2 linked regions of the Drosophila melanogaster genome follow. The protein of the gene in region 1 interacts with the protein of each later gene in a pairwise test. Each region holds a gene or a part of one and is shown in the gene's direction. Other genes may lie near its edges.

Evidence for each region.
Region 2: the proteins of Rab32 (region 1) and CG31076 interact in a two-hybrid assay, tested with the Drosophila melanogaster proteins (one large-scale study listed by BioGRID).

Annotation. Positions count from the first base shown.
Region 1 is NT_033778.4:9,173,844-9,186,301, reverse strand, and holds Rab32 (Rab32), read left to right. Parts: upstream 1-5,003; 5' UTR 5,004-5,143; coding exon 5,144-6,553; intron 6,554-6,955; exon of another isoform or gene 6,956-7,076; coding exon 7,077-7,472; intron 7,473-7,552; coding exon 7,553-7,696; intron 7,697-7,757; coding exon 7,758-7,868; 3' UTR 7,869-8,438; downstream 8,439-12,458. Other genes in the region: Rme-8 (receptor mediated endocytosis 8), read left to right, coding at 9,523-9,714, 9,769-9,909, 10,067-10,211, 10,368-10,569, 10,631-11,135, 11,193-11,371, 11,427-11,634, 11,692-12,102 and 1 more.
Region 2 is NT_033777.3:26,985,936-26,995,715, reverse strand, and holds CG31076 (uncharacterized protein), read left to right. Parts: upstream 1-5,863; 5' UTR 5,864-5,929; coding exon 5,930-5,959; intron 5,960-6,027; coding exon 6,028-6,264; intron 6,265-6,342; coding exon 6,343-6,491; intron 6,492-6,548; coding exon 6,549-6,681; downstream 6,682-9,780. Other genes in the region: TwdlC (TweedleC), read right to left, coding at 1-431, 647-782; CG31075 (uncharacterized protein), read left to right, coding at 8,200-8,304, 8,378-8,482, 8,554-8,654, 8,712-9,283, 9,347-9,780.

The DNA of each region.
Region 1 (12,458 bases):
AGGCTCGGAATCACTGTTGTTGTTGTTTTGCGCCGTCTTGGCTCGTGTTGTTGTTGTCTTGCGTAGTATTGCGTGCCTGGAAATCGAACGTGTGTGAATTTAATTTACGATTCGTATAATTATCAGCAAGAGCAAACAATATAAGTTGCAAACGACCGTTTAAGCCCTATGACACTAAGATCCAAAGTAAGTGGCTACCACCGAACTGTTCCATTTGCATTTGAAACCAGTTTCCAGCGATTCGAGTGCATGAAATTGTCCAAAAAAGTGCAACGGTCGAGTTCAACAAACCGATCGATTGAGATAACACCGCAAATATATAGCTGTGAAACTCGCAAATAAATACCTACATATTCTTCTGATAAGTTCAAGAACAGTCTAGCCATTGTTTACCGTTAGACCAGAACCACATGTTGCTCGGGATCCGCGTTCCGAAGAGCGAGAGTTATACGTCTGTGCCTGGAGAGGGCCACTAGAGCGCGTGTGAACGACCTTGACTGGGCGGGGGCGTTAGATAACTGCGGAGAAGGTCTAAAGATCACACTCACCCACCCCGTATCGGTGGTTGCATGGCAACCGGCGTCATCCAGAGTAGCGTTGTCTCCACCTCCGCCGGACGCCAGAATATCTGCGACTGCCTGGAACAGGAGTCCGCCGGATTGGTCAAGGCCCTGCCCAAATCCAAGTCGGCCGATCAGCTCTCGGAACTCACCTGCGCCTGCCTGCGCTGCCAGTACCTGGCCACGGATCTTCAGCATCCGAACACCCAGTCCGGTCACCTGCCCGTGGAGCACAGACACCGACCCGTGAGCTCAGGCTCCGGTTCACTGGGCGCCCTCAGCGCCAAGGAGTCGCCCATCTTCGTGCGCCGCCAGATCTGTTTCCCGTCCGCGGAGACCCAGCTGCATCCGCCGCTCAGCTCCTCCCAGTTCTCGCTGCGAAGTGCTTCTCCGGCCTACGCCGAGCCCAAGCCGGAGTTGGATCTCGGCGCCATAGAGGCGCTGCAACTGACCACGGTCATGCCCGCGGGAGTCAACCGTAACCACATGGACATCAACAGGAACAACGGATACCTGCACAACGGAGTAAGTACCTCCACCATAACCCGCAATGGAAAGTGTTTGCCTACAGCCGGCACGTGCCAAAATGTAATGTGGGGAGGAGGGACATACTTTAAACAATTAAAAGGGCGTGAACCCATATGTTAGGGATCAGAATGCACCTACATTCATATGTACTTGGTAATTACTGGTTATTATTTTTAATTTGAAAAAGGAAATCTTAAATAGTGAAGCATTAGCAAATAGTCATAGCACACCAACTTTCATGCGATTTTAAATTGGCGTTAAATGATGACTTTTCAAAAAAAAATATATACTCTTTTTTTTGCAAGTGTGGGAAATGCCCAAAAATAAGTTGGCCAAGTGTTGCAATGGCTTTCGCTATTTCGCCTCGTCAGGCCGTTAACACAACCAGCTTGTACTCATTAGCCGTTTTAGTTGCTCAGAGAACTTTGCGGAAACCCACCAGATGGGATTACGGAGCGTGAATAATGCACGGAATGTGGAATATCGCAATGGGGAATATCACAATGCACTGATACAAATAATTACATTTTAATTTAATTTCATCTAAGGATTTTTCCACGAACATTCTAATTTCCCTATTGAAATAAATATGAATCAAATTTAAGGCAAGTTCAAAAGTCCATAAATTAACATTTATATTTTAATACTATCTATACTATAGATAAAAATCGAAGCTTTTTTTTATCAGTGTACCCATTTTATTACGTTTTTCCACCCACACTACAAAATGAATTTCCCTTTCAGAATTAGTTTGCTTCTAATCTTCAATCGACCGATTGCCATTTTCCCAATGCCAATTTTACCAATTAAATGGTAATGAAATTACAATTGCTTTTTCATTGGATACCCAGCTCAGTTACAAGCCAGACGATAAAATCAAAACAATGTGAAGCGGGGCTACGGATATGGTCATACTACACATTCCACATAGAAGGGTCGGATTCGGGGACGGAACCATGTGGGTGTGTTGAGCTACTTAAGTGATTGCCGGGTTAGCCGGCTATAGATATCCGCTACTGTTGAGAAACTATAATGCGGATTGGAAGGAGGTAGGCTACGGATTCGGTTCATCAGACATAGGCAAAGTCACGTTTGAAGGTCAATTATGGAAGCAAGCTAGGAAAGTGTGGGCTCTTTAATTACTGCCTGGCATTTCCAGCATTTCCCATTTACACATCGCACATGCATGTAGCTCGCTCGATGAATCACAAGGTCTTATTGCATTTCGGCCACTATCTAATCAGGGCCCTCTCGCCTCCTCTTCCTCCCCCTTTTATGGGCGACTCCATTGCGTGATAAGATATGAGCTGGCACTACACTCCATGCCACCCACCGATAATACGCAAAGCAGCGTGTGCAGAGTCCATTGAGGGATCGCTGTACGCCACTCGCAGAGCATCCTCCTTATGTAATCGAGCTCCAACTCCCTCGGCGCATCGCTGGCCAAGGCAATGCACTCCACTTCACTCCGCAGTGTTGTTTGTGTGTCTTTACGTTTGTGGCCGACTGATTAATTTACATGACAATTGCCCGGGCAAACTGATAAGCATATGTACATATGTACATGCATGTACATATTTACTATGGTAACTGTAAGAGTATCGCTCTGCCGCCGCAGTATCGTATCACGCAATCCAGGTTGCCAATCTTAAAATTCCAATGCCAACTATCTTTGTGCACGCAGTCTCCATGTTTATCAACCTGCGATATTTTGAGGTATTATATTTAAACGAATGCTTTGAACTTTGACAGTTAAAGTACATCGCACTGAACTAACTTTCATTAAATAAAATTCATATTATTTATACGTAAATGTCGTACTTCAACAATTACTTAAATCATGGACTTTTAGTAATCAAAATAATTTTGGTTTTAATAGCATAGTATTCCTTATCAAATTGACAAATATTTGCAATAACTAACACCGCCGTCAACTTGTTATTCTACTTTTTACACTTACATATCAGATTTTATTGCATACTTTTGGGGTTCAGTTAGAAACCTTCGGATTAAACGACTGAAAATGGGCTTAGCCATAATAGTACTTTCCCAAGCTATCTAAAAAGACAGGTGTCTTTAGATTCGCTTGATTTTACGCCTGCCGTGATACATGCAATCCCAGTAGTTTCCATTCCAGGAACTCATTCACGTGCTCACTTCCTCTTGTTGAGCTCACTTGCACGTGATTGCTGGCCGATGCGGGTGGGGGGCTCCTAGCCACTGCCATTCGGTATCCGATTTACGGAAAAGAAGTCCGTGCAGGACTTCGCCACATCGGGGCATCCGTGTGGCTTTTGTTCGGAATGGGGTCGTCAGGGGGCACTTGCAGGCGCCTGACTTTCAGATGGAGGCCGAATGCTTCGCATAGCTCTTCTGTTTTCTGTTTTCCGGCTGGATTGCGTGTAAACATCTGCGGGCACAAAGGAACTCTTCCACGTTCGACATTTATGCGAAAGTGAATTTCTAATGCTTTCGGTTTCCAAGGCACATTATGGTTTAAAAGCCCTCTGCTCCGTAACTGGAATTTTTAAGGCTTGAGAAAATGTGTTTGCTGTAATCTCCCATGAATTATGTAAGCTGATTCGACTGTTGACTTGTCCCCGATTTCAGAATGTGCAAATCGGTTAGGCTACAGACAGCGCTCTTTATGGTGAATTACATTTAGAACGCTTTACTTTACTGTGCAATCGCATTGATTAATGCCTGGTCTAAATAACCAATAGCTATTAGTTTATAGGAAAATATAAGTCATCAAAGAACAATCACTTTCAATGATGTAGTGCTCCAAAAGAAAACGGCTTTCAGAAAACAGGATGGATAAGTAGTAATCTAGCAATATTGCAAATGGGTTGTTTTAAAGGAATCTGAAATGGTTACTAACCCTAGTGATAAGCATAAAGCTAATCAAATATAGGCAAATATTGTTTTTACCAATAAATTATTCTTTAATTTAATTTATAGTCAAACTATAAGTTCAAAAGGGTGTTTGGTAATAATACTATACATTTTTAAAAGTATTGATAACTACCCCACTGCTCAATGATATCGCAACCGCAGCAAAGTGCCTGTATAAGGAACTGTAATATCTAATTAAGTCAGATCTGAAGCAACTTCCGTACATCTGTAAGATACGATCTATCCATACATACATACATACATATGTGTGCCATCCCGTTTGCGTTTCGGGTTATTACTTGGGTAATCGTATATGGGCCACATATCTCCTTCCCTGTCGCTCTGCTCGATGCACTGCGGCTAACCACGTTTTGTAATAAGCGTAATTCTATATAGTCACGTCGAGCAGTAAGTCGACAGTCGGCCAAGACAGCGGCCAATCCGCCAGATTGATGTGTCGCCCACTTAATGCCGAGCGACTCTTTTGGGACAAGTTGATGCGGCAAATCCTCAGCTTAAAGGAAGCCCGCCAAGTGCGGCGGAGCACGTTCTGGGTTGCTTGGAGAGGTCAGGTCCAGATATGGACACTGGGCGCCCTGCTCCACTGGTTGTGCCGGATGATTGGGTGCTCGTCATCGTAGCATCACGGCATCATGGCATTATGCATTACCTCGATCCAAATTATAGAGCCCAGTGATTCCGGAGCAGGGCTAACCAGCCGGACAACTGGCGTCGATTATGGCGGGCCACCGGACACTGGCCAATCTTTGTCCGGGGATTGCTTGATAAGCGGGTGCCAGCCGTCCAATCGGCCCATTCAAAGGCCCACCGGCTCTTCTCACGCTCATTTCGCAAGCGATTTGGAGGCGGCAACCAGTGTTGGTAAGCACCTGGCCAGCTATAGCGATTTTCGTAACTGTAATGCTAAACCTCTCACCACAAAAGGGGATGGTGCGGGGGCGGGACCAACGGGGCGAATACAAAATTTATAAAAGCCTAGTCGTCGGCACTGGGGATTTTAGTGCGCGTTCGTTTAGTCTGGGCAACGGTTGCTTAAAAAAAAAAAGCTCGAGGATCGTGCAGGATCAGGACTGGAAATCAAGCTGGAGCAAATGGAATCTGTGTAGAATCGCTAGGGATCAACAGCGTCAGTTGAAAATATGCCCAACGTGGACGAGCAGCGGGGAAAAGCAGCTACAAAGAGAGCGGAATCGGAGCAATCGGAGGAAAAGGGTGACCGCCAGGAGGGGGACGGGGATCCGAAAGACGAGTCTGAGGAGGCCACCGCGAAGATCAAGGGCCGTTCCCGATTCACTGCGGCTCTGCGAAGCCTCTCGAAGACCAAAACCAAAAGGGAAAGGGAGCTGGATAAAAGCACCGACAGGGAAACACGCAGCGCGGAGGAAGAGGCTCAGGAAACCCCAGGCGAGCTCGAAGACGTGGCCAGCTCCATCTCCACGGACAGTGGAGCCCTCGGCAAGACCAAGAAAAAGAGCCTGACGCGCCGCCTGCTTCTTGGAGGCCTGAGAAAAAGTGGGAAAACGCCGAAGGGGCGGCCCCACAGCTTGGCGACCAGCGACGACATCAGCGTGGAGCACCTGGAAACAACACCCCTGCCATCGCCACCCGGTTCGCCCACCTCCGCCGGCAGCAGCACGCTGCAGATCACCATCAGTGGCAAGAAGGTGGAGCCATCGCCCGCCAAGAAGAGCGGCAAGAGCAGACCCAAGAGCGACACGGATTATCTGACACCCGCCGCAGAAGAAAGGAAACCGAGAAAGAAAACCACTACCACCACCGTGACCACGAGAGATACGAGCAGCAGCACCCGCACCACCAAGCTGCTGGTGTCGAAGAAGAAGCCCCAGAGCCCCGAGAGAGAGTCCCCATCGGCGTCGCCGTCGCCGCTTATCACCACCACCGAGAGCACGCGCGATACGCCGCCCAGAGAACGGGCGCCAGCAAAACCAAGTCGCGTTCAGTCAGCCAGCGGCACCGGAGCTGTTCGCAAGTCCCAATCCTCGAGCGCATCCAGCAGGAAGCTGGAATTGATGCAGCAGCAGCAGCAGCGCGGCCACCGCCTCAACGCCAGACCACTGGCTGAACTAGCGAACACGGAACCCCAGCCATCAGGGCAGCAATCCCTGGACCCATCCACATCCCCTCCGGCGGCTGAGGACGGAGTCTCCTCGGCGGAAAGCGCCCAGACTATTGCTAATCCCCCGCCCGTTGTCCGCTTTGAAGTGGGCAGTGCAGTCAGGAGTCCCTTGAGTGCCTACGAAGCCGCATTGGCCGCCGCCGCCAGTCAACAGCCCAACTCCAACGAAGAGCTCAGCGACTCCAGCATCCGGCGTCTCAGCTTCGCTCAGCAGCAGCTCATCCTCGGCGACCACGACAGCATCGAGGGCAGGCGGGAAACACTGCACTATCAGTCGGTGGCTAGTGAATACTCCAACCAGGACTCCGGATCCGAGGACGATAGCGAGGAGCAGGCGGATACCACAGAGCCAGAGAACGCCAAGCCCATGCCGGCCTTCGGTGACCTGACCATGGATCAGGAAATGGAACCGGTAAGGTCTCGTCGTCGTCGGATTGCCAATTCGCCAGTTGTCATTTACCTACGAAGAAGCGAAGAAGCCCCACAAGTGATATGTTGGCCCCCTTATAGTGTGTGTTCCAGAGTGTCATTCAACTGTGCGGGCGGCGGGCGGTGGTAATAGCCCAGGGGGTCTCGTCAACTAACCAGCAAATCTCAGTGCGGATTGACGAGCAGCAGAAGGTGTAACTAATACCAGGCTTAGAATTTATTAAAGTGGTGAATTCTCACTTCCTATATTATATATTGATATGCTTTTATATAACTGAGTGTAAACGTGCTATGATAGAACAAACTTTACTACTTATTATAATTCGAAATGCACGGATTATTTATATTTGTATCTTGAAACCCAGAGCCCAAAAGTATGTATCTCTTTATCTTGAGATTTCAAGTCACAAGTGGGATTTCATTGTTTAGTGTATCAAATTTATCAAACTATTCTATTAAGCATGGATCGAACATACAAGTAACTCTCATCCAATCCTTGCTTGCAGGCCATCATGACATCCACCAGCGATAAGCGCGAGCATCTGTACAAGATTCTAGTCATTGGTGAACTGGGCACCGGCAAGACGTCCTTCATTAAGCGCTATGTGCACCAGTTCTTCAGCCAGAACTACAGGGCCACCATCGGCGTGGACTTCGCCCTGAAAGTGCTGCAGTGGGACGCCAATACGATAGTGCGCCTCCAGCTGTGGGATATCGCCGGTCAGGAGAGGTTTGGCAACATGACCCGTGTCTACTACAAGGAGGCGGTGGGCGCGTTCATCGTTTTTGATGTGACTCGCAGTGGGACTTTCGATTGCGTGAGCAAGTGGAAGGAAGATCTAGACTCCAAGGTGCAGCTGCCGGACGGCAGTCCCATTCCGTGCATCCTGCTGGCCAATAAAGTAAGTGATTGCCTAAAGGTTAAAGGAGACCGCATAATTTCTATATTATGTGATTAATACGTTGCTCATCCGTTTTCCAGTGCGACCAGGAAAAGCAGGGCATCATAACGCAGCCCGAGAAGATGGATGAGTATGTGAGGGAGAACGGATTTGCCGGTTGGTTTGAGACATCCGCCAAGGAGAATATCAACATCGATGAGGCAGCTCGTGCCCTCGTGAATAAGGTGATAATCGCTGCTAATGCCCAGCCAAAGCCCCGCTAATCTTCTTCCACTCGCCCGACAGATACTCATCAACGATAAGCTGATATCTGCCGATCTGGCCGATGGCGACAAGTTCAACTTGAGCGCGGCCGATGCAACCGGATCGGATGCCAAGAACAAGTGTTCCTGCTGACCTGGGACCGAGGTCCGGCGACTCCTATTCCCATTCCCAGTTTAAGAGCGAGTTTCAACACAGAAACGCCATGTGCCTACGTCCACTCCATGTTCATGTTGTTAGAAGATAGCGATAACTATGCTTAGGGTTTTAACGTAACATTTGTCTAAGACTTAGTGTCATCCGTATCATCCCGTCCGTCTTTATCTTTAACACCCCGTCTGTGGGTCCACAATGTTGCGCCGGCATCGGGATCCGTGTCACTTTGAGAATTTATATGGTGACACATAACATACCTACGCATACGAAACATTATTACTATCACCATCATTGCCCTAGTTGCGAGGATTAGCCGGAGGTAGTGCAGCATCCGTATCATAGCATACTACATTTGTGTAAAATGCGAATCGTCTTATTGTTTTGTTTGTTTTATTTGCCTCTGCTGGCGAGATTGTTTTATCTTGGAATTATTATTCTCGTATGCAAACACACTCTGCCATCATTATTTGTATTTAGATAACAATACGTACGCTTAATGCAATGCGAAATCAGAAATAAAGTTTTTAATGGTAGTTAAGTTCAGACGACGTGTTTTATTGGCTGAATAAATTCTGTGTAAGTGCTTTTGTGATACAATGAAAATGTTATGCTACTAGTATTTGCCTTCATTGAATCACTGGTCTTTGTAAATAAATACGAATAAAAGCTTTGTTTTTACATTTCCTTTTTTAACGGTAAAAAATCGTATCCCCAACCGGCAATGTTTTTCTTTTTTTTTAATATTCAAACTATCGATAGTTATCAACTATGGTATTCCTTATTGTTTAGTGATCACATATTAAACTTAAAAATAATGATATACAGATAAAAGTGTCGTGCGTTCATATTCTACATAAAATTATTAGCAATTATTTAATCGTTATGAAAAGCGAAACGTATAAACTGGTAATTGGTATGGGAAAAATTGGGAAAAAGCTGGAATCAGGTTTAATTGCAATTTGGTTTTATAAAATGTTTTATGGCACAAACAAACATCCTGACTCAAAAGTGAATTAAGCTTGAAACTTAAATACTCCGAGAATACCGTGAATATGCGTTTACCAATTGCTGCTGAACGGGACCACTATCGATAGAACCTTACAAACTATCGAATCGCTGCAAGACTATTGCCATCGATACTTGCACCTCTATTTATTAGTGTTGTGTAGCCGTGTTACTGCTAAATTGTTTATTGCAAAAATTCCGCAAACGAGAGATATTAGGAATAGAAGACAATATAACAATTGGGCAAAATGTGTTAGATGTTTAAGGTAAGCCACCGCCAGGGCTGCAGCTCGGCGGAGCCGTATCCAACGGTCCGCGCTCTGGGGGCCGCAGCATTCCGCACTCGTCACGTTTACTCCCCTTTTCTGGTCTTTGTTGGGGCTCCGTTGGCACTTCTGCTGATAAGTGCCCAAGTCGACTTAATTAATCAGTGCCCTGGAGTCGGGGGCAAGTCAATTGGATATTTGGAAACCGCTGGGAACGTGAACCAGCTGCGCGCCCGAAAGACCAGTCATGAATTGCCGCGGCTCTGATTTGACTCCCGTTCCCACACTCCATATCTCACTCACTTTCAGTTGCTGACTAATACTGGGTGGAAGGTAATCAGTTGGAATCGTCACAAGAAACGATGCTGCCGCCTAAGGAAAACGTCGATCTGGAGTGCTTCCTGGTGACCAAGCACTCCTGGAAGGGCAGGTATAAGCGCATCCTCTCCATCGGCACGGCCGGCATATCCACCTACAATCCGGACAAGCTTGACCTGACTAACAGGTGGTCCTATTCGGACATCGTAGCAGCAGCACCCTCAAAGACCACAAATGTGAGTTTATAAGATCCTACGGAGAGCTCGGAACTAAATAAATTGATCTTTCAGATACCCCATGACTTCGTGATTACCATCAAAAAGGATAAGAAACTAGATACAATCAAGTTATCGTCGGAATATCGGAACGATATCCTAAGCTCTATATTAAAGTACTACAAAGAGTTTGCGGACAAGCCGAAAAATGCTCAGGTTGGTTTTTGAGTCTCGCTTTAAATCCTATACTAATTTGGAAACACTTCTCCAACATTTCATGTGTGATTCAGATGTTTCTAATTAACATTTAAATATGCAATATGAATTCTAATCTGTCAAAATTTTAATTTTGAATACTATCTAAATTTTGTAGCGCTTTAGTGCTTACAAATACCACTGGTCGGGCATCAGTCTTCCCACAGTACTGGAGGTCACGCCCTGTTCTCTGGACCAGCTCGATCCCACCACCAACGACGTGCTGGCCAGCTATATGTACAAGGATATCGAGGGAATAATAGGTAGCTATGCACATTCGACTCGCTTGCATCAATTAATGTGTCTTGTTTTGTCCTCATGTGCCTCAATTACAATTCAATATGATCGCTCCGTGTTTTGTTCTTTTTTTTATTTTTGGTTACTTGCCGCACTCATCTTTCTTCCGCACACGTTTTAAGCAGGCATCTCGGACTATGAGGGAGGAATCGTGATGGCCTACGGCGGATTCAGTCGCCTCCATTTGTTTAAGGCGCTGAATCACCACGAAATCGTGCAGAACATAGCACAGAGATCGGCTCAGTTTCTGGGCATCGAAACCAAAATACTCAAGAGTCAGATCACTCTGGAGCAGTTCGAGAGGCAGCGGTTCGGCAAGTTTAGGTAAGTTCATGTGAAACGCAATAAAGAATTTGTAGAAAAAAAAAGCCATATAATATTTCAGTGGTGACCAGTTTCAAACCTCGTCGACCGAATTCTCGGTTCATAAGATAACGCCCCGCCATCCGGATCCGGTGAAGCGTATACTCTGCCTCACCGAGGTAACGCTGCTGGAGCGGGATCCTCAAACCTACAGCGTCTGCACCCTGCGTCCGCTCACTGATGTGTTTGCCTTAGTTAGAGACAAGGACAATCTTCAGCGCTTCAGCATCGAGTACAAGAATGGAATCGTGCGCAACTACAGCACCAACGACCGCGACTCATTGTTGGCCACTGTTCTGGATGCTGTCCGCTCCAGTGGCAATCAGGATGTGCACGTCCGCATTGGCAACACGCCGCGAGGGAAACGGTATGTGCCATTGAACAGCTCGGTGGACGAGGAGACGGAGGCGAATTTGATGCGCCTGGTTATCAACAATTTTCAAAACCCCTCTAAGCGGTATGAGATCTTGGAGCGCTTTAATGCCAATGTGCCTCACAGTGGCCTCAACTACAGTGTAACTCAGGATGTAGGTTAACCTAATGCTCGGATTCCGGTTCAACCTAACTAATGTTTCGTTTCACAGAGCTTGTTTGCTGAAAACAAAGATAAACTTATCCTGAGTGCCCTGCAAGCGTTGGCTCAAAAGGAGCTGGACAGCCCTACGGCCCAGCTGAGCAACTTGGAGCTGGAGGCTATCTTTCACGCTCTTACTCGTCTTCTCGCTAGCAAAGTTGGATACGCAGCCTTTACGAATCTCCCGGGGTAATATATTCTAGTTTCGTACTAATAGCATTGTTAATGTTTGAATACATTTCAGCTTTCGTGAGATTATCGGTACAAAGGTGGTGGCTGCTTTAAGACGCAAGGATTTGGCTGTGACATACTCCGCCATTGACATGATTAACTCGCTAATGCATTCTGTGAATTCTGACCATGATTTAAAACAGGAGCAACTTAACAAGTCATCCATTCTGTCATCAAAATCGTTTCTGGAAACTTTGCTCAACATGTGGACAACCCATGTGGTAATGTAACCATTCTAGAGTGCGGTCAATTCGTTTTGTAACTATTTATGATTTCAGAGCCATGGCAGTGGTGCTCTGGTACTCTCAGCCATGCTGGACTTCATGACCTTTGCCTTGTGTGTGCCTTACAGCGAGACCACTGACGGCAAGCAGTTCGATACTCTGCTGGAGCTGGTTGCCGATCGTGGACGCTATTTGTACAAACTGTTCCAGCATCCCTCGCTGGCGATCGTGAAGGGAGCTGGATTGGTGCTGCGGGCCATTATTGAAGAAGGCGAGCTGCAAGTGGCTCAGCAAATGCAAGCATTGGCTTTGGATGAGGCTGCGCTGTGCCGCCACTTACTGGTGGCACTGTATACGCCCTCCAATGATCCCACACAGACCACGCAACGTCAGTTGTCGCGGCATTTGATCGGGCTGTGGCTAACAGATAGTGAGGAGGCCATGGAACTCTTTAAACGCATATTCGTGAGTTATTCGAAATGTCCAATTCAATCAAGTTTGTCATATTATTTAAAATTACCAGCCCGCTGGCCTGTTAACCTTTTTGGAATCTGAGGAGACTGTTCCAGAGTCGGATGTCGAGGAGGACAAGCTAAACTTTCGTGACAATCTCAAATTTGCAATACAACATTCCAACAAAACTCGCAAGAATGTGATAGAGAAGCATTTACAAGGCATTAAGCATTGGGGCATGAACCTAATTGAGAAACAGGACGGAGCGGCTCAGGCGCTAAAGAATCGCCCTGTTGTGCTGAGAAATCGACGCCAGAAGAAAAAGACATCTGATGTTGTAGTGAATCTGCCCTTCTTCTTTTACAGCT
Region 2 (9,780 bases), on another chromosome or scaffold:
AGTCTTCTCCTCATTCTGGGGTGGTGGTGGCACAACTGGCTGACGGATAGCCGGAGCAGATGGTGCCTTGATGAACACGATCTTGTAGTGCTTCTGCTTGGGTCCCTGCTGGTGGTGAACTCGGGTCTGGATGGCATCCTCCTCCTCGAAGTCCTTTGGCGGCACATGGACGTAGATGTGCTTGTGCACCTTGGTCTCCTGGGGGCCATTGTTGTAGCCACTGGCATGCTGCACTCCGGACAGGCGGTGGGCCATGTTGTAGCTGTCATCGTAGGCATTCAGGGGCTCAGCGGCGGCGGCAGTGGGAGCCACTTGCTCGATGGCATCCAGATGCATTTGGGGTGGCAAGTAGGTCTGCTGGGGCGGTGCAAAGTTGGCAAACGACTGCTCCTGGGGCAGAGGCTGGTAAATCTGCGGGGGAACGGGGTGAGCTGTCCAAAAAGAAAGATTAATAAGATTAAGATAAATATATGGAGTTAATATATCTACATTTGCTGAATTATATTACTATAATCAATGTTTAATCTAATCTTTAATAGTTGTCATGCTCATAAGACTTTAGCAAAAATCTGTGTCACATAAATAGCTTTAATCTTTTTCGCTTTAATTTCCTATAATGTTTCTATTTCATCCTCCGCCCACTTACCATTGAGTGGCAAAGCCCGCTGGCTCTGCTGCTGAGGCAATCCGTGGTAGGAGTACGGGGATGGGGGCTCAGGACGACCCAAAGTGGTGGCCACCAGGGAGGCCACGCACACAACGAACAGCGAGGAGACACGCATTTTGCTTCTGGTAATCGGAAATCCTTTGCTGCTTAGTAAGCCCGTAATCCTTTGGCTCGATGAAATGCTTCGATGGAGAAGCTCGATGCTCGACTGATGCTGACTTGGCCGCCGCGGTCCGAATTTATATGATTCGATGTCCGCAGCTCCGAGTGCTCAAAGTCTCATTACAAAAGGTAAACGAAATAAACGAAAAAATGAATTTAATTAAGCATCAAAAGAGACGCGAAGAGCTTCGGATGAACTTGGCCAAAAGCGAGTAGAAGGCGGCGCAGAGCAAAGATACGGATACGGATGCAGAGAGAAGTCTGCGACACGTGTCTTTTGGGTTCACAAGCGAGAAATTGGAGCAAACCCGTCTGCAAAACGAATCTCCCAGGAGGGGGCAACCCCATAGTCCACAATCAATGCCCTGGGCCAACGCGAAAAAATGTTTGCCCAAATCGTTATGTGTAACACTCTCCGCTGAGTATCTCGTATCTGGTATCTTGTAGCTCGTAGCTCGTAGCTCGTATCTCATATCTCGCATCTGAAAGATGCAGCAGCCGCAACCTTCGGCCAAGTGCGCCAAGTGTTATTTTCACAATTGGAGCGCACTTAAATTGCTGGCTCGAAATCGAAAGTGACCCACGATTACACACTCGACCGAGTCCCATTGATGAACTTCATTCATGTGACGCCTCGAGGAACTTGTTTGTCCAGTTTGTACTTCCTCGACAGCCGGGTCATGTGATTCCCCGGCAATCCAGTCAAGGGATAATCCATTTTTTCGCATGATTAGCAAGGAATCTAAATAGTGAACGGGAAATACGAAAACAACGTGTTGTGCTAGGACATTAAGCCAAGTATACATTAAATGTGTAACTTAGTAAATTTGTAAAACAAAGTTGCAGGTTTATTATGCTTTCAGCTTTAGTATTTTTCTTTATAATTATTTCTACTCATTCTTAAGTATCATTAAGCTTCAATGTTGTCTCATTGCATATGGAACTAACAATAGTTACTTTAAAAGATCCCAGTCATTGCATACAATACAATGCATTTTAACCCATTCTTAAACCCTAACAAATTCGTTTATAAACCTATAAATACACGCAGTCATCAGACCAAAAATAACACAATAACGAAGGGCTTTTCAAGGCCAGTTCCAAATTTCCCCCGAACTGTCAACCGTTGACGGCGGACACTTTCAACACCTACGATAACAATTACGAAACAATCGTAACAAAATCAAAATCAAAATCAATTTTCAAATTGAAGCCAAACATTAAGCGTCGAAAACGAAAACAATAAGTAATAAAACAAAACAGCAGCTACCCAAATAAAGTGAATAGCGAGCGGCATTTAATTGGATTTGCTGCACACAGCCATTGGTTCGAAAGTAAATAGACCGCCAGTACCCACTATCCAATACCCAGTAACCAACCAGTAACCAGCTGAATCGAGACGCTTGTCCACTTGCTGTCCACACACAGAAATCATTAATTGTAATTGCAGCCGACGCATCTCGACGCAGCGAGGTGGAGAAATGTCGAGTGGCTGTGCGGACACATGTAGCTTATGGCTATAACTACATCGACATGGCTATAAGGCGGCACAAGAAGTTGGGGGGCGTACGTAATGGCAACAGGGTTTTGGAGCTTTACGTCACCGTTCGATCGATTGGAAATTGGTGCACTTGGCCACCGAAGAAGAAGCCTAACGAGTCAAGCGCTGTCAACGGGAAGAAGGGTCCGGACTCAAAAAATAAAATCAGGGATGCAACTTAATTTAAACATATACATAAGTAAATAGTACATTGAAACATGGCATAGAAATTGATAAAATTGTTCAAAAATATCAGTAAAAATGTGCAAAATTATCCGTAAACGAGGTCAAAATATAGATTGTCATACCTTGCTGGACTCGTAAAAACATGCTTAATCGTTTGGCATTCAAGAATGAAAAAAAAATTTTTTGTCAATTTTTGCGAAAAATTACGATGTTACCCCTTATAAAAAATGGAAAATTTTGACAAAAAATTTAATTTCTGGAATCAAATCAAAAGTGATTGCGTTGGTTTGCTGAGGTCTTTAGCTCTCTAAAAAGGTGTTTTTCTTAGCTGTGGCTGCCATTTTGGCCGAGTTACAAGCTTAAGCCCATCAAATGTATAAGTACAAAAAGAAAAACTTGGTGAAAATCTGATCTTTAGTGATGAGATAAAAAAATTTGACAAATTTATTTAAGGTAAATTATATTGACTACAAGAACAGTTTTTATTCCATCCCTGGTCAAGAGAAAGACCAAAGGAGCTGCCGCAGATTGTGTCATCAAGGGTTCGAAATTTGGTGAAAATCAGGTCAACAGTGCAGTAGCACGTCCATCGATGAGTTATTGATTTGTGTCGAATACTCGATCTCCTGCCCTTCTCCTCGTGGCATTGGCTTAGTCTTGTTTTTCGATGCCCTTCGATCGCTTCAAATTGACATTGCCGGGGAGCTGCGTCCCTCTTGGGGGGAATTTCCATCGCAGCAGCTTAAAATAGACGAAGCGACCGGGGATGCGCCACTTGACTTGCCACTTGTTGCATTCAAGTGCCACGAACAGCAAAAGCCATAGAAGAAGCACAGCGGCCAACACGAATGGGGCAGATACTTTGGGGCTTTGTCATTGAGATGTGAACCCACAAGTCGATTAGTTGGCCAATGGCAGTGAAGAGGCGCATTCCATCGCCAGCGAAGAATGCGTAGGTCACTTGACTTAAAAACGGAGTAGAAGCAGCTGCAAACCTTGTGGTGGATATAGATACCCATCTCAGTGGTACAGAATGCCATATTATTGGACTTTCTACTTAACCGTTAACCATTTAAATCAATTTAAACCAAAGTCAGTTCATATAAAAATACCACTCACTTACAATCCCAAACCTCAAATTAACCTGAAAAAAATTTGACTTCCACATAAAGTGATTTACTGATTTCCGAGAAATGCTTCGACTACCATATTAAATAATTTTATTACACTCTATAGCAAGTGTATATTTTTCACTTTTACCACAAACACCGAAAATAAGAAGGCAACTGCAAACCAAACATGCAAATCATGCTTAAAAAAAGTTTATAAAAAAAAGCAGATCACAAGTAGATGTTATATATTTAACTGGGGCTTCAGCCCACACTCCGTAAATTATGACAAATGGCAGATGAATATGGTCTATTCCCTGGCATTCCCCCCTTCATTTGAATACGTTGACAAATCGTTCGGTTAAGTGACTTAATAGCTAGCCCGGAGGAGCATAATGATGATGATTACTGCGATCGGCGTCGTCGATTATCTCGTTAATTAAAGACCACAGACAACCAGAGCATTTTTGCACCGCTTGCCATTCCCGCCTCGTCAAGGTCACCCGATTTTAGCACAATTATCGAGGCCCTTATCCCAACCCATCATCATCGCCTCCGGTTTTATGTAACTCACTTACAGCCTGTGGGAAGTAATTAAAACTGGAGCAAGTCGAGTACTTTTTATTTACGAGGGTGGTTACCTGGATTTCGTGACCAGGTTCCTATGGCAATGTTAATGGGGCTTATACTAGACTGCTCCAACAATTTAATGAAGAAAATAAATTGAATTTCAGGATAAGTTAAATATTTCCTTAGTTTTTATATATGTAAAGAATGAAGTGCTGATAATTAGTCATCAAAGAGGTTGGTAAAAATACAATGCCATTAAAGGTTTTACTACGAGTTTTAATGGCTCAAGGAATTCTTGGAAAAGAAAGTTTTAGATACGAGTTTTTATTTATTCAAGTGGATTTTCGCTTTTCAGGGGTAACGCCTTACCGAATTGAAGACCACATGCCACGGACAACTGCATTTAACTTGTGCCCAAATATTGACATTGAATTATAATGCCCATTGAGACGCAAGGCAATCAAAGGCCTATATATAGAGTTACACACACTGGGCTATTACGGTCAAAAGTAGAGTGTAAGCAGGGGAAATAATAACATGGTTAGCGGACAAATACTTTGTCACTGACAGCGGTCAAAACATAAAGGGTAAAGGGTTTTCTTTCGCGAGATCTGCAACAGCTGTCAGCCAGGCCGGTTGCTCGTCACGTATCTCAAAGATATGCAAAAGTATATGAGTATCTACCCATCTGCCGGTGCGTATGGTTGGGTTTCATTGAATTGAGTGCCCGGCTAAATGCTGTGAGCCGCAATTTGTATCCCGCGCTTTGTTTACTTACGCTGTCATCCCCTTTTGTTGGGCACTAGGCCCAGCCTCCAGTCCAATTTGTTAGCCATTTGCAGTCAATCACAGTGTGGCCACTAACAAACAAGATTTTGTCCGTCCGCGTTGGTCTTTCCATTTGCCTTTTCATTTCGGCTCTTTAGTGGGCCGTCATCTCTGTTTGCCGGTCAGCTGGCAATTAAAAATGTATTTACCAGCTCTTTGCCATTGTGGAGCACTTATCGCGCCACTTGCACTTGACCAGTTCCGATTTGAAGTGGCTTAAAGCCATTCGAAGGACTAGCCCCTAAATGGCCGTTACTAAATGTGGTCTCCTATTTAAGTCCACTTGTCGTATACTCTATGTGCAATCATAGTCGCCCGCTGGCGCCATCTACATGTCAGTTAACTCTTGATAACTTATCACTAGCGTTTTTCTTCCTCTCTCGCCTTGAACAAGTTCAGGCGATGAAAGAAATCGTCAGTCGTGGAAAAAAGCTTCACAGAAGCCAAACAAAGTTATACGCAAACAAAGAGCATATGGAGTAGGTTACTGGAGTCGAGGGTTTCAACTTTTCAATACCTCATAGGCTCCGAAATATTTTAACTTTTTGATTCCAAGTGCCTTATCATTTTAGATAGCCTAATACCAAATAGCTGATAGCTGATCAATAGTTGATTATCTTTATTAATCATAATTTATAGATTCATTTTCATATGATTATCAACAAAAATCTTATATAAAAGCATATGCCCAGAAAAATCATGTATGTAGGGTATTTAAAAAATTAAAATGAAAAAATAAAGAGACAGTCCAAAAACAAAAGCATTCGGCTACGGAATGCAGCACAATCGAGCACTCATTTCAGTTGCTCACGAGGAGATCGCCGGTGAGGTATCTCGCTAACCACAGATACGATTTATCTCAGAGCAATGGAAAGGCCTGAAAATAACGACAGTCAGGTAGGAAAATCAAGCTTATCTAGCCAAGATTAAAAGTCGTATCTCTTTTATTTTGTCTACCGGTTTAGCTCATTTTGGTGCAACAGAATTTACGAACACTGCCCCAGGAATTAGTTAAGAAGCATGCTGATCATGTAGAGCAACTGGATCTAAGTCACAATTGTCTAAAGGATCTGTCTTGGTTGGCGGACTTCGAGCAGCTGCGTCATTTGGTGCTGGACAGCAATCGCATGCATGAGGCTCATTTGAGGACACTGACTTGCCCGCTGCCACAATTGGAAGTACTGATGCTCAACAAAAATGAGGTGAAGCCACAGAATCACAGTTCAATTGCTGTATATTAGAAATAAACGTCGAAAATTGCAATTTCTTATCGATTCCAGTTCAGTGACCTGCCGACGACAATGCGACTGATCAGAAAGTTCTTTCCCAATCTGCAGTATTTGAGCCTCCATGGCAATCCGATCTGCCCGGATGGCTTGGAACTGCAGCCGTTCTCCACATACCTGCGCTACGACTACGAGTACTATAGGTGGGTGTGTCTGTTACAATATTGATCTATCTATACATAGCTGCCGATCTGTTTCAGCAACTACATTGCACAGTCGCTGAGTAAACTGAAATTTCTGGATCATGGACTGGTTCAACGCACCTACAAATACGAAAGTTTCCCCATAAAAAATTACAATGGCAAACAGCTTATCCAGACGACAAGTGTCTGAAATTATAAGCAAATAAGACTATTTAACCTATTTATATTTAATGAAGTAAATTTTAAAACTCCCTATATTACCCATTGATCTATTAATTGAAGTTTGGGCATTTTATACAAGCTAAAGTATAAGACCACATCCTAGACACAATCCGTATAAGACAGTGTCTTGGATATCTAGCCAAGACATCAACCGCTCCCAAAAGCTTACAGTGGTCAAATTACAAACAAGTGTCATTAATAATTTTTTGTGATAAATCAATATCACCAAGTATAGTAAAAATAAATGTAGTATTAAAAACAATATATTTAACTAAAAATTCTGATATAACCATATTTAAGCCATATAACTTAAAGAATCGATGGACAATCCGTACACATTGTAGGGCACTTGTATATGCCGGCCGGCAAATGATAATTCAGAGGAGGACCACAAGCAAAGTGAGAATCTGATGAACGGCAGTGCAAAACAAATCGCTGATAGCCAGTTATCGGGGCTCTATATAAATCGGCATCTGGCAGCATTTCAGTTTCAGTTTCGCGACGTCTCCCAGACAGCCGGTTTCTATTCCAGTTCTTGAAGGTGTATATATCGCTCAATATGGCCGATCCCAACGCCAAGCCCAAGTACACAAAAGTGAGTATAAATATTGTGTGTGGGCAGCTGTCTATTAAATAATGCAAATCCCTCTTACTGCGCTGCACTTAAGCTAGGTGCATTGAACTTCCACTTTCTGCATTACAAGTTAAATGATTTAAAGTAAGCTGCCTAGTGAAACACATCAAACTCGTTTGTGTCGCAATTTAAGTACATATGTACAAATACTTGCAATTTTGGCCTCCTTACGCATATGTACGATTATTTTAAAAAAAAAACAGCAATTAGTTTGTTCGGAGATAGAGGGCTTAAATTGTTATCAACAGATGTGGGATGAAAAAAATAAACAGATTCGAAAAAAAAAAAAAAAAAGAAATAGAGCAATAATAATTAAGATGTTTGCTATGCTGATAAGAAAACATTCGTTGGGGACCAACATGAACTTTTTTCTGATACGAATAAGACTTTGAACGCTCATTTACAATGGCGAAATTATGAAAAAATATTATATATAAAAGAAAACTAATCAATTAGTCGAATATTTAATAAAGATTCTTTCTCTGTAAAGTAAAAACTCCTTATAATGCCCTTATTTTTAACGCCCACTTCTCTATATTCATTATTGTTTCCAATTGATTACAATAAGCGGACTACTTTATCTTGAAAGTTTAAGAACGCTGGTCGTACGATTTCATATCGCCCAACGACCCATTATAATTTAAATCAACACTAGATAACAGCCTCAAACTGCTTTGGTTTATTGTCAACAGTTTTGTATTTTTTACATGCTCGACAATTTGGAATCGTGACTAGAATTACACTTTACAGTGTTTACATTATCGCGTGTCCCCGGCAAATTGAAATGGGCCAATCGGGGGGGTTGATAACTTGTTTGAGCGGATAAGTAATCGCTGACAAACTGGGCTAACAATGATGAACAAATTGCAAAAACTACTGGCACACCAATTGGCTGTTTCACGAAAGTGGTCGAAATTTGATCATACTTATGCCCAGTGCGAACCCAATTACTGTCAGGTGGCGGAAAAGATTCCATTGGTTCCATTTACTTTCCACTAAATCAAAACTCACTTGATTTATTTATTTATAGCTTTTCATCAACAATGAGTTCGTTGATTCGGTGTCGGGCAAGACCTTTGCCACCTTCAATCCGGCTACATCCAAGGAGATTGTCCAAGTCTCCGAGGGAGATAAGGTGAGTCCAGCATTCTCGAAAGAGATACGATGGTGAAATGTACCTGTTGATTATTCTTAATATTTTATTAGGCTGATATCGACCTGGCTGTGAAAGCGGCCAAGAAAGCCTTCCATCGCGACTCGGAATGGCGCAAATTGAGTCCTCTGCAGCGCACCAATTTGATGAACAAGTTAGTTTTACCCATAAATCACACGTAAATAAAGTATAACAATATAATCCCCTGCAGACTTTGTGCCCTGATGGATCGGGACAAGGCATTCCTGGCCAGCTTGGAGACCCAGGACAATGGAAAGCCCTACGCTGAGGCCCTCTTCGATGTGACCTACTCGATCCTGACGCTGCAGTACTACGCCGGCTGGACCGACAAGTTCTTCGGCGACACCATTCCCGCTGGAGGCTTTGTCTCCATGACCCGCAAGGAACCGGTGGGCGTGGTGGGCCAGATCATACCCTGGAACTATCCCCTGCTGATGCTGGCCTGGAAGTGGGGCCCCGCTCTGGCCGTCGGATGCACCATCATCATGAAACCCGCGGAGCAAACTCCTCTGACTGCCCTTCACATGGCTGCTTTGGCGAAGGAGGCAGGCTTCCCAGCCGGTGTGATCAATGTGGTCAACGGATTTGGTCCCACTGCCGGTGCTGCTATCAGTGCTCATCCTGATATTGCCAAGGTGGCTTTCACCGGCTCCGTGGAAATCGGTCGGATTGTCATGCAGGCTGCAGCCACGTCGAACTTGAAGAGGGTCTCCCTGGAATTGGGCGGCAAGAGCCCCGTTGTGGTCTTCGATGATGCGGACAGTGAGTTACTTATCTCTTTAAAACTTAAGCATAAACCTACTAATTCCTGCTTTCCCCCATTAGTTGACTTCGCCGTGGAAACCACCCACGAGGCTCTGTTCTCCAATCACGGCCAGAGCTGCTGTGCCGGCAGTCGCACCTACGTTCACGAAAAGATCTACGACGAGTTCGTGGCCAAGGCAGCTGCCAAGGCAAAGGCCCGCAAGGTGGGCAATCCTTTCGAGCAGAATGTGCAGCAGGGTCCCCAGATCGACGATGACATGCTGACCAAGGTGTTGGGCTACATCGAGAGTGGCAAGAAGGAGGGTGCCAAGTTGCAGGCTGGTGGCAAGAGGATCGGCAATGTCGGTTTCTTCGTTGAGCCCACTGTCTTCTCGGACGTGAAGGATGATATGCGGATTGCCCAGGAGGAGATCTTTGGCCCCGTTCAGTCGATCTTCAAGTTCAGCTCCCTGGAGGAGATGATCGATCGGGCCAACAATGTGCAATATGGCCTG